Linked DNA regions of Rattus norvegicus. The protein of the gene in region 2 purifies or fractionates together with the protein of the main gene of each other region. This does not show direct contact. Links are inferred from orthologs where the notes say so. Each region holds a gene or a part of one and is shown on either strand. Other genes may lie near its edges.

Region 1 (4,586 bases), on a different chromosome or scaffold from region 2:
CCCACCCACATGTGAACAATGACTCTACTTACACACCCCAGCCACACAAAAACAAAACAAAGCAAAACAAACAAGAAACCCACTAAAACAAAAGCTTAAAAAAGAGAATGGTAAGCCCCGAATCTTACAAACACCATGGTGAACATTTCTTTAACCTACCATAACCAAGACAAACTAGGCCTGGCCTCTTGGTTTCCAACCTGACAGCAGACATGATTAACCAAAGTCATGATTTCCAGAACACCAGGCCACTGAAGTGTAATTACAAACTAGTTTGCAGAAAGTTTTTTAACTGCTGTATTTTAGTCAACTTAAGCGTTTCTTGCATTTTTATTAAACAAAGAGTACAGCCTTCCCTATCAGTTCAGCAGACAGTTGCCTCAGCGTCCAAGGCCCATGGGCAGCTAAGCCGGCCTCTAGTGTCCTCTGCTTTTTCTGCTGAACATCCTCCCTTGCAACCATGCACTGCTAGCTCCCCTAGCAGTGGCATCCCCATCTTGGGCTCTGCCTCTAGAAAATACTCTCAGTATTGGGCAAAGACATGAGCATGTGGACACTCCTAATCCTCAGGAAAGGTACAGACAACTGAGGTTACAGACTAATAGCCTGGAGCTCAAATGTGTGACAAGGGTTAGAGGACTGGGTTCCTGAGAACACCATAAGAGGACAGTATGGGCCCAGGGCAGGTGCTTCCTCTTTCTGACCCCCCTCACGCACAGGAGAGCCCATGGAAGCCCCTCACCCACCTGTTCCTGCTCCTCAGAGGTCTTCTCTGTTCTATTGTCTTTGTCACAACCAGCTCTGGCCACTTCTTCAGTGTCCTCGTCACTCGTGTCACTGCCAGAATCTTCAAGGCCTGAAAACACACTCTCCTCGCTGTCAGAGAGACTGGAGTCAGGGTCGCTGAGGAGAAGAGGCTGCAAGGAATCACAGTGTTTAATAACTGCCACCTGGAAATGGGACATAGCTGTGCCTCACATGCTTCCATCTACACCAAAACCATCCACCCAGCCTGGGCCCTCATCTCCTGCCTCTGTTGACAGAACCTGCCCTCAAAGCAGACACACCGATTCCCAGTTTCTTGCAACAGAGGGACCTTTCAAGAACATATGGCTTTGTGGAGTTCAGTTTCCACTTACTGTCACCAAAACCAATTTTCCTCTACTGACAAACTCTACACCCTACTCGGGCACCCAAGGGTCCAGGAACTGGAAAGGCACTAGCTAGGAATGAGGCCCTGGGCCTGGGACGACTGGAACTCCCTGAAGGCTTAGACCAGCTACAGTAGAAGCTTCTTTACCTTGAAGACTGGGACCAACCACTGACGGACAAGTTGGAAAAGCCCAAGAGTAGCAAGCTAAACTATGTGGTGCTTTGGAAGAGAAGGGCCCTCAGACTGATTCCCAGGTGGGCTGTTGAAGAAAAATTAGGAGGTGCAGCTTTGTAGGTCACTGGGAATGGGCGCTGAGGTCTCGGAAATCCACATCAGACCCAGCATCCCCCTTCCTCTCTGCTCGCTCATTGAGACGTAAGAAAAGCTCTGAAGTGCTGCTCCAGCACAGTGCTCCCTGCTGCAACGGTAGAGGACCAACCCTCTAAAACCGTAAGCAGGCTTCCAATCGCATGCTTCCTTTCATAAGCTGCCTTGGTCATAGTGTTTCATCACGGCACTGGGACGGTGACTAAGACAAACATACCATCTGCTGTCTCTTTTAGAACAGGGAGAATCCTCTGAGTACAGCCCTAGAGGCCATTTTACAACTAACACACTCTGACATTCATGCACGATGGACAGGTTTCTATCACTGACCTCCAAACGTTGAACAAGAACTTGAACACTTAAGGAAGCACGTGACTGCCCCTAGAACTCACTCTGTGGACCAAGCTGGACTCAAACTAACAGAGATCATCTGCCCGTCTTCCGAGTGCTGGGACTAAAGATTGGTGCCACTGCCACTAGCGGTTAATTCTTGCACTTGAGTGGCCTTCACTGCCAACTATCCCAGTGTTCACCTGGGTTTCCAAAGAAGTCATACTGACATTCTCTTATTATTGACGTTTCTAAAACTACTTATCATACTAACGAATACAAGCAGTACAACGGTTAGAGCACAAGCAATCAACTACAAAAAGCTTACTACCTAGACTACTAAAATCTTACGTGTAGGAAAATTTCACAAAACAAAGGGACAGCTTACGTCGTGGCTCTCAACCTGTGGGTCACAACCCCTCTGGGAAGAATGACCCTTTCACACACTATCCTGCATATCAGATAATAACATTACGATTCATAACAGAAGCAAAATTACGGTTAGGAAGTAGCAGCAAAAGCAATTTTGTGGTTGGGGATCACCACAACATGAGGAACCCTATTAAAAGGGCCAGTAGCATTAGGAAAGTTGGCAACTTAGAGGATCCAATGAAGTGGAGTCAACTGTAAGACATAGCTGTGCACGCTTTCTACCACCTTGATTTGATGAAGCCCCACTAGCAAGCCTACTGAGCTCAGCAACATGGAGTAGCAATGATTCCATGACAACCAGCCCTGGATGCCCTGGGTTCCATTCAGGCTTCTATAATCTCATGTCCTCTTGTTTCACAACACACCTGACGTACTGGCTCACCGCACCAGCGCAATTACAACCTTTTCCAGGACAGGAAGCACGGTGGTGAGGAGACTCTTAAAGGTCTCTCCCTTAACACGGTTCAGGCCACAGAACTACCCCTGGGTTCCAGCGCTCCTCGGCGCAGGTAGTGTTCTGTTGAGAGTTCCCAAATAACAGCCCAGACAGAACGAGCTTCTTCTGGGCTCTAGCCGACCTACAAGACACTACATACTGCGCCACGGCCCGGCCTCCCTGGCCTTGCCACGTGCCTACATGGTTCACAGAGGGATGCAACCCGCTACCTCGAAGTTACCTCTTGTATCTGTGGCTCCTGATCAGGTTCCAAACGCCGTTTCCCTGGCAGCGATCCCGGTGACATGTGGTGCTTACCACACGCCCCCGCCATGCTGCACCGCGCCGGCTACCGATTTACTGCCGCTTCCGGCAGCGGGAGAGCCTCGTGTGCCCTCAGTCAGGCCCCGCCCAACCACGCTCTAATTGGTGAGCAGCCCGAGTGAAGCCATCTTGCGCAGGCGTACAGTGCAGCGGGCCGCCCAAGGGCAGGGCCTGTGAAGTCGGCAGAAAAGATCACAGCGCCTGCGCACAGGAGGTACAGGTCTGGCCCTAGCGAGAGCGCGCCGGTCGCAAGATGGCTGCGGCCATGCGAGGCCTTGCTGTGTGTGCGCAGCGGGCGGCGGAGCGGCCCGGACATCAGGGGCAGCGACGACACTAGCTCAGCCTTCAGCCACTCTTCTAGAACGCCACCCCAGCCTCTGCCTGCTTCTTCGGAGATGGATCTGGCTGTGGGCCCCGGTGCAGCGGGGCCCAGCAACGTCCCGGCCTTCCTAACCAAGCTGTGGACCCTCGTGAGCGACCCGGACACAGACGCGCTCATCTGCTGGAGCCCGGTAGGAGCTGGCATGGGCCGGAGCGGCCTCATGGGAGGGTTCTGTTGCCGGAGTGAACCTGTTTAGGAGAAGCGGCCTGAGAATAACCAGGCTTGTCTGGGTTCAGCCCTCCCGGCATCCTGGAGGGAGAACGCCGCTGTCTGGGGAGGAAGTGCGCCCCGCCCCCAGAGCCACTCGCGGAGAGTAGGCCGAGACCCAAAATCCTACATTTCACCGGGACGATAAGGACCGGGCTTCCAGTTCAGGGTCTTTGCTCACAGAGAAATAGTTCCCATAGCCCCTCTGCCTTTCTGATTTTAGCAACCATTCAGAGTACGTGGAGGGCCTAACGAATGCATGGAAGAAGAGTGAGAGTAGGAGATGTGAATCCTAAACTCGTCCCTGATAGTCCCTAGACGTCAGAGCAGTTTTGCCCGGCCCTCAAAGGGCGGTGTCGAACCCTATTCTGTTGCCTGGCAGCGGGCTGTGTACACCGCAGACCCTGCTGGACCTGCATCTCTGACTTGCTTGCAGAAGGTGGTTCCGTGTTTGTGTCAATGTGGAAAGTAGAATCTGCTGTCCACATTTGGGTTCTGAGGCCAGAGTGCAGAGCTAGCAAATGGTGGCCTGAAGACAGGCTATTCTGATCCAGGGAGAGGCTATCCTGATCCAGGGAGAGCCTTTGGAGGGATAAAGGTGGCTAGATGCCACCTACTTGACCTCCTGCAAGCCAAATCCGGAGGCTTCTCGGACTCTGCTGAGCACTGACCCCCCCCCACACAGTAGTTTCTTAAGCTGGCAAAAATGGAAAAAAGCCTGGGTGGTAGGTAGAGGCCAAGGCTTCTGCCTCTCTGTTGCCTGTTTGTTTAAACTCTGCTCTGCCTAAAGGGTGCTTGGGAATAAAGAGAAGACAAGAAAGCACAGAACTTCACTTCTCACCATTCTTTGTGGTTATTCCATGTTTTCCTAAATGCCATCTTCAGTTCACAACCTCTCCTGGACTTCATACTCCAAGGCAGAGAAAATGACCTTACATTTCTGTCTTTCCCCAACGTTCCTGTCCTCTGTTTTCTTTGGCTGAAAGGGAGTTTTC
Region 2 (4,252 bases):
ACACAGGCAAGGAATTTGAATAGTTTTCCAGAGAAAGAGCAATAACAGGACCAAGCACAATCCGTATCACTTGACAGCCATAAGTGTTGGTGAAGATACAGAGACGAAGAATCTTCATCAGTGCTGGCGATGATGTAAAACAGTAGTTACTTTGGAAAACTGGGAGCCAGTTTCTTTAAAAGTTAAATGTGGGGGTTGGGGACTTAGCTCAGTGGTAGAGCGCTTGCCTAGCAAGCGCAAGGCCCTGGGTTCAGTCCCCAGCTCCAGAAAAAAAAAAAAAGTTGGGTTGGGGATTTAGCTCAGTGGTAGAGCGCTTGCCTAGGAAGCGCAAGGCCCTGGGTTCGGTCCCCAGCTCCGAAAAAAAAGAACAAAAAAAAAAAAAAAAAAAGAACAAAAAAAAAAAAGTTAAATGTGGACTTATACTCTTTGATCAAAGAACCACACTTTTACATACATACCATCGAACAAGGAAAACACATGTTCACTGTGCATAGTGGCATGGGTCTTTTAATACTAGTATTTGGAAGGCAAAGGCATGAGGATCTATGGGTCTGAGGCCAGCTTTGGCTACACAGTGAGATCCCGGCCAGCCAGGGCTACACACGTTCACATAAAAATTGTATATTAATGCTTACACATCTACTATTCACAACAGCTAAAATACTGAAAGTTTAACTGGACAATAAGAGAAACTGAACCATACAATTTGGCCATAAAATAAAGTATGATGATATTGTCTCACAAATAAACTAAAAAGAAAAAAGAAAAACACGGTAAACAAAGATGACATCCACAAAAGACCATACATTTTGTATAATTTCATTATAAAAATGTCCAGAATAGGCAATTCTGCAAATAGATGGTAAGTAGGTAAGTAGTTGACTTGGGTGAGGAGTATTTAAGGGATGAAGTGTCAACTAAAGAACGGGCAATCCCCCCCCCCCATTAAATGTCCTTTATAAGAAAAAAAAAAAAGAACGGGCAAGTTAGAGCCAGGCAGTGGTGGCCAGTGGTGGCGAATGCCTTTAATCCCAGCATTCAGCAGGCAGAGCCAATTGGAGTGAATAGTTCTAGGACAGACAGGGCTACATAGAGAAACTCTGTTTTGAAAAACAAAAACAAAACAAAACAAACAAACCCAAAAACCACAATGGGGCTGGAAAGATGGCTCCGTGGTTAAGAGCACTGACTGCTCTTCCAGGTCCTGAGTTCAATTCCTAGCAACTACATGGTGGCTCACAACCATCTGTAATGGGGTCTGATGCCCTCTTCTGGTGTGTCTGAAGACAGCTACAGTGTATACATAAAATTAATAAATCTTAAAAAAAAAAGAATTTGTCATTTAAAAACAATAACAGAAATGGGGTGGTGGTGGTGAAGTTTTTTCTAAAATGAATTCTGTGGATGTTATACAACTCTATTGTGATATACCTGAGCCCCATATTATATATGTATCACCAGCAAAGTTGTCTCTATAGAACTTATTTATATATAGACACACAAGTACACACATAGAGTTTTATCAACTAGATAGAAAACAAGGTTATCTGAAAAGAGGAAATTCCGTAGAGTGGCCTGTAGGCAAGTCTGTGTGAGCATTTTCTGGACTAAAGACTGCTCACGACAGTGAGTAAAAAAAGATTCAAGATGACGTGACCACCGCTTCCAAATGTGATAAGATAGAAGCGTGGGGCACGTGAATAGGAGTGCGAATGAAGTCTTTTATTTTTTTCTGTCCAGCAGTCAGCTTATCTTATTTGCATCAAATCCGTTTCATTCAAGCCTAATAATTATTATTAAAGTTCTTTCGGCTTTGATTTACTAAAGTCTTGTATATTCCTAGTCAAAACAGCAAGGATTACCCGGGGCTACAAGGTCCAAATCGAAGGAGTCTTCAAACGAGATCGGCTTGGGGAAGACAGGGACAGAAGATGGAACCCTTACTTACTTCTTGTTCTCCGTGTAGAAACGTGCCTGGAGTTGTGCCATGGCAGAAAGTATACAACGAGGCTTCTCCACAAAAATGTATGCGCCGATAATCAAGTAGCTCTAAGGTAGACTGCACCTCGAGCGCAGTAGAAGACAGGCTTCAGTTATCTTCCTCGGGTTTCTACAGACCATACCACGAGGTTCTATTTCCACCGGTGCCCAGCCCGCACACATCAAATACCTATTCCGAGATTTAGGAAACATCGATTAGTAAAGCAGTCTTAAAAGCATCCAGTCCCCTTAATACTTTCATATTTCTTACTATCTATCTAGATCCATAAACGATTAGAAAAATAAAGAAAAGAACTACCTTGAACCTAATTTTTGAGGGTGTCGTTAGACCCAGACCCTTTAGACTCAGCGCTCAGATACTACAAACCCCAGCAGGAAGCGCGTTTCAGACCCTCTGAACACTGGGAGTTGTAGGTTTTATTTACTTTGCCACATCGCTCTTAGGTTCTTACATCCGCTTTTAAAACTCCCTTCTCTGGGCAGATATTACACTTCCTGCTTCTTTAATCTGAGTGACAAAGGCTCCACCAGTTCGTTTTCTATGAATCGTTCCAACAGCCAGATTGAGCTGAGACCATGTGTTTTTACCTCAGACTTCAGAGCGGAAACACGAGAAGGGAGAAGGAATCGGAAGGGAACTGGGCGACGGTGGCCGAGACGGGTCCAATCTGATGAGCCTGCGCTGCGCCTCCCGGAGAGTTGCGCCTGCGCATTGTGGTGGTCTCCACGGCGGGGCCTCGGAGCCAAGACGAGGTTGAGTAGTCTCGTTTTGAATTTTCTCCCTTCTGCTACGGCGGACTCCCCTCTCGCGTTGTGGGGCTCACTGCGGCGGCAGGGTTGGAGGAGCCAGAGGTCTGGCAGAGCTGTCCGCGCCCACAGACCGGACGCTCCCTCCCAACCTCCCTTCTTCCTCCCTCCTCCTCCCGTCACCTCCTGACCCTCCGGGGCTGGGAGCAACCGCCGGCCCCCGCCCCCGGCCGTCGCTGGACGCTGCTGCGCGCTGTCCCTGCGCCCTCGCCCGCCTCCACGGCGGCTCTGTCGCCGTGGACCCGGGAGGGGGCCCGCGGCCGGGAGAAGGCAGGCTGCCGCAGGGGGAGGCGAGGTGTCTGTCCCGCAGAGGGTGCGGAGCCAAAGAGCGCCCCACCGCCCCGGAGCACCCGAGTCCAGGGCCCGAGAGCGGCCTCTCCCCTCCTGTCTGAGTCTGATGTTTAGAAAAGCTTCCTCTGCACCTTCTCCCCTGCTTTCAGACTTTTTCTTTTTTCTGTTTTTGTTTTTGTTTTTTTTTTTTCGGAGCTGGGGACCGAACCCAGGGCCTTGTGCTTCCTAGGCAAGCGTTCTACCACTGAGCTAAATCCCCAACCCCTTTTTTCTGTTTTTAATCCTGAAGTCACTCAAAGGCTTGTCTCGGTCTCAATGGTCTCGATTATTACTCCAGTTATTTTCCTGAGTGGAGAATAGATGGGGGCTATTACTCTTAAGATCCCAAAGTCACTTTTTTAAGGCATTCGCCTGGAAACCTCTGGGGATGGGGTACGGGAACACACTCCTCCCTCCGAGGCAGCAAATTACAGTCAGGCAGAACTGGATTGCAAAATGTGTGGGCTTAGCAGTATGAGTGTACAGGTGAATATAATGAGAGTTTTTCCTGTATGTCGCCTGATATTTAAATCCGTAGAAAATTAGAAGTGATCTAAACAATTGGAGGCGAAAACCAATAATTTGTTAAGTGGACAACACAAAAAGCATGACTGTTTTCAATTCATTCATTTTACAGAATTGCATGCCTTGTATCAGGAATGCCTGAATTTGATTTTACCTGTGTTACTTTTCCTCTGTGCCACACTAAAGTTAGCTGTGACAATTGAAAGTCCCATAAGAAGAACTCAGAACATGTTAACTATTGCTCTCATAAGAGCTACCAATAGAAGTTTTTACTAGAAACCTCAGTGATATAGGTGGAGGCATAAAATGAGAAAAACCTCTGCCGAAATTACAGGGAAAAAACCCCTCTTGTTCAGACTGGGTTTGCTGATGGCAGCAAGGCCCTTTAAACTAGAATCATTTGAAATGATGAGGATTTACGTTAAATAAGCGGGGACATCTGAAACTTGAAATTCCTTAGTTGAAGTATAGCTATTGAATTTTTGCTGGTAACAGGATTGATTAAAAATAGCGTTTTAAACTTCTTTAATTTGGATTTATCAGATTAACAATACCTGGAAGTCAATGCATTTTTTAAAAAAAAATCTTA

What was found.
Region 1: the proteins of Wdr12 (region 2) and Bop1 purify together in Homo sapiens (affinity purification with western blotting; 6 studies listed by BioGRID and IntAct, with this or other methods). This does not show direct contact. The link is inferred for Rattus norvegicus from reciprocal best matches to the Homo sapiens genes WDR12 and BOP1.

What each region holds. Positions count from the first base shown.
Region 1 is NC_086025.1:110,073,511-110,078,096, forward strand, and holds the start of Bop1 (ribosome biogenesis protein BOP1), read right to left. Parts: upstream 3,020-4,586; 5' UTR 3,013-3,019; coding exon 2,920-3,012; intron 918-2,919; coding exon 747-917; intron 1-746. Other genes in the region: Hsf1 (heat shock factor protein 1), read left to right, coding at 3,398-3,514. UniProt on the Homo sapiens protein: Component of the PeBoW complex, which is required for maturation of 28S and 5.8S ribosomal RNAs and formation of the 60S ribosome.
Region 2 is NC_086027.1:68,993,907-68,998,158, forward strand, and holds the start of Wdr12 (ribosome biogenesis protein WDR12), read right to left. Parts: upstream 2,906-4,252; 5' UTR 2,755-2,905; coding exon of another isoform or gene 2,543-2,754; 5' UTR 2,300-2,542; intron 2,171-2,299; 5' UTR 1,990-2,170; coding exon 1,949-1,989; intron 1-1,948. Other genes in the region: Carf (calcium-responsive transcription factor), read left to right, coding at 2,543-2,754.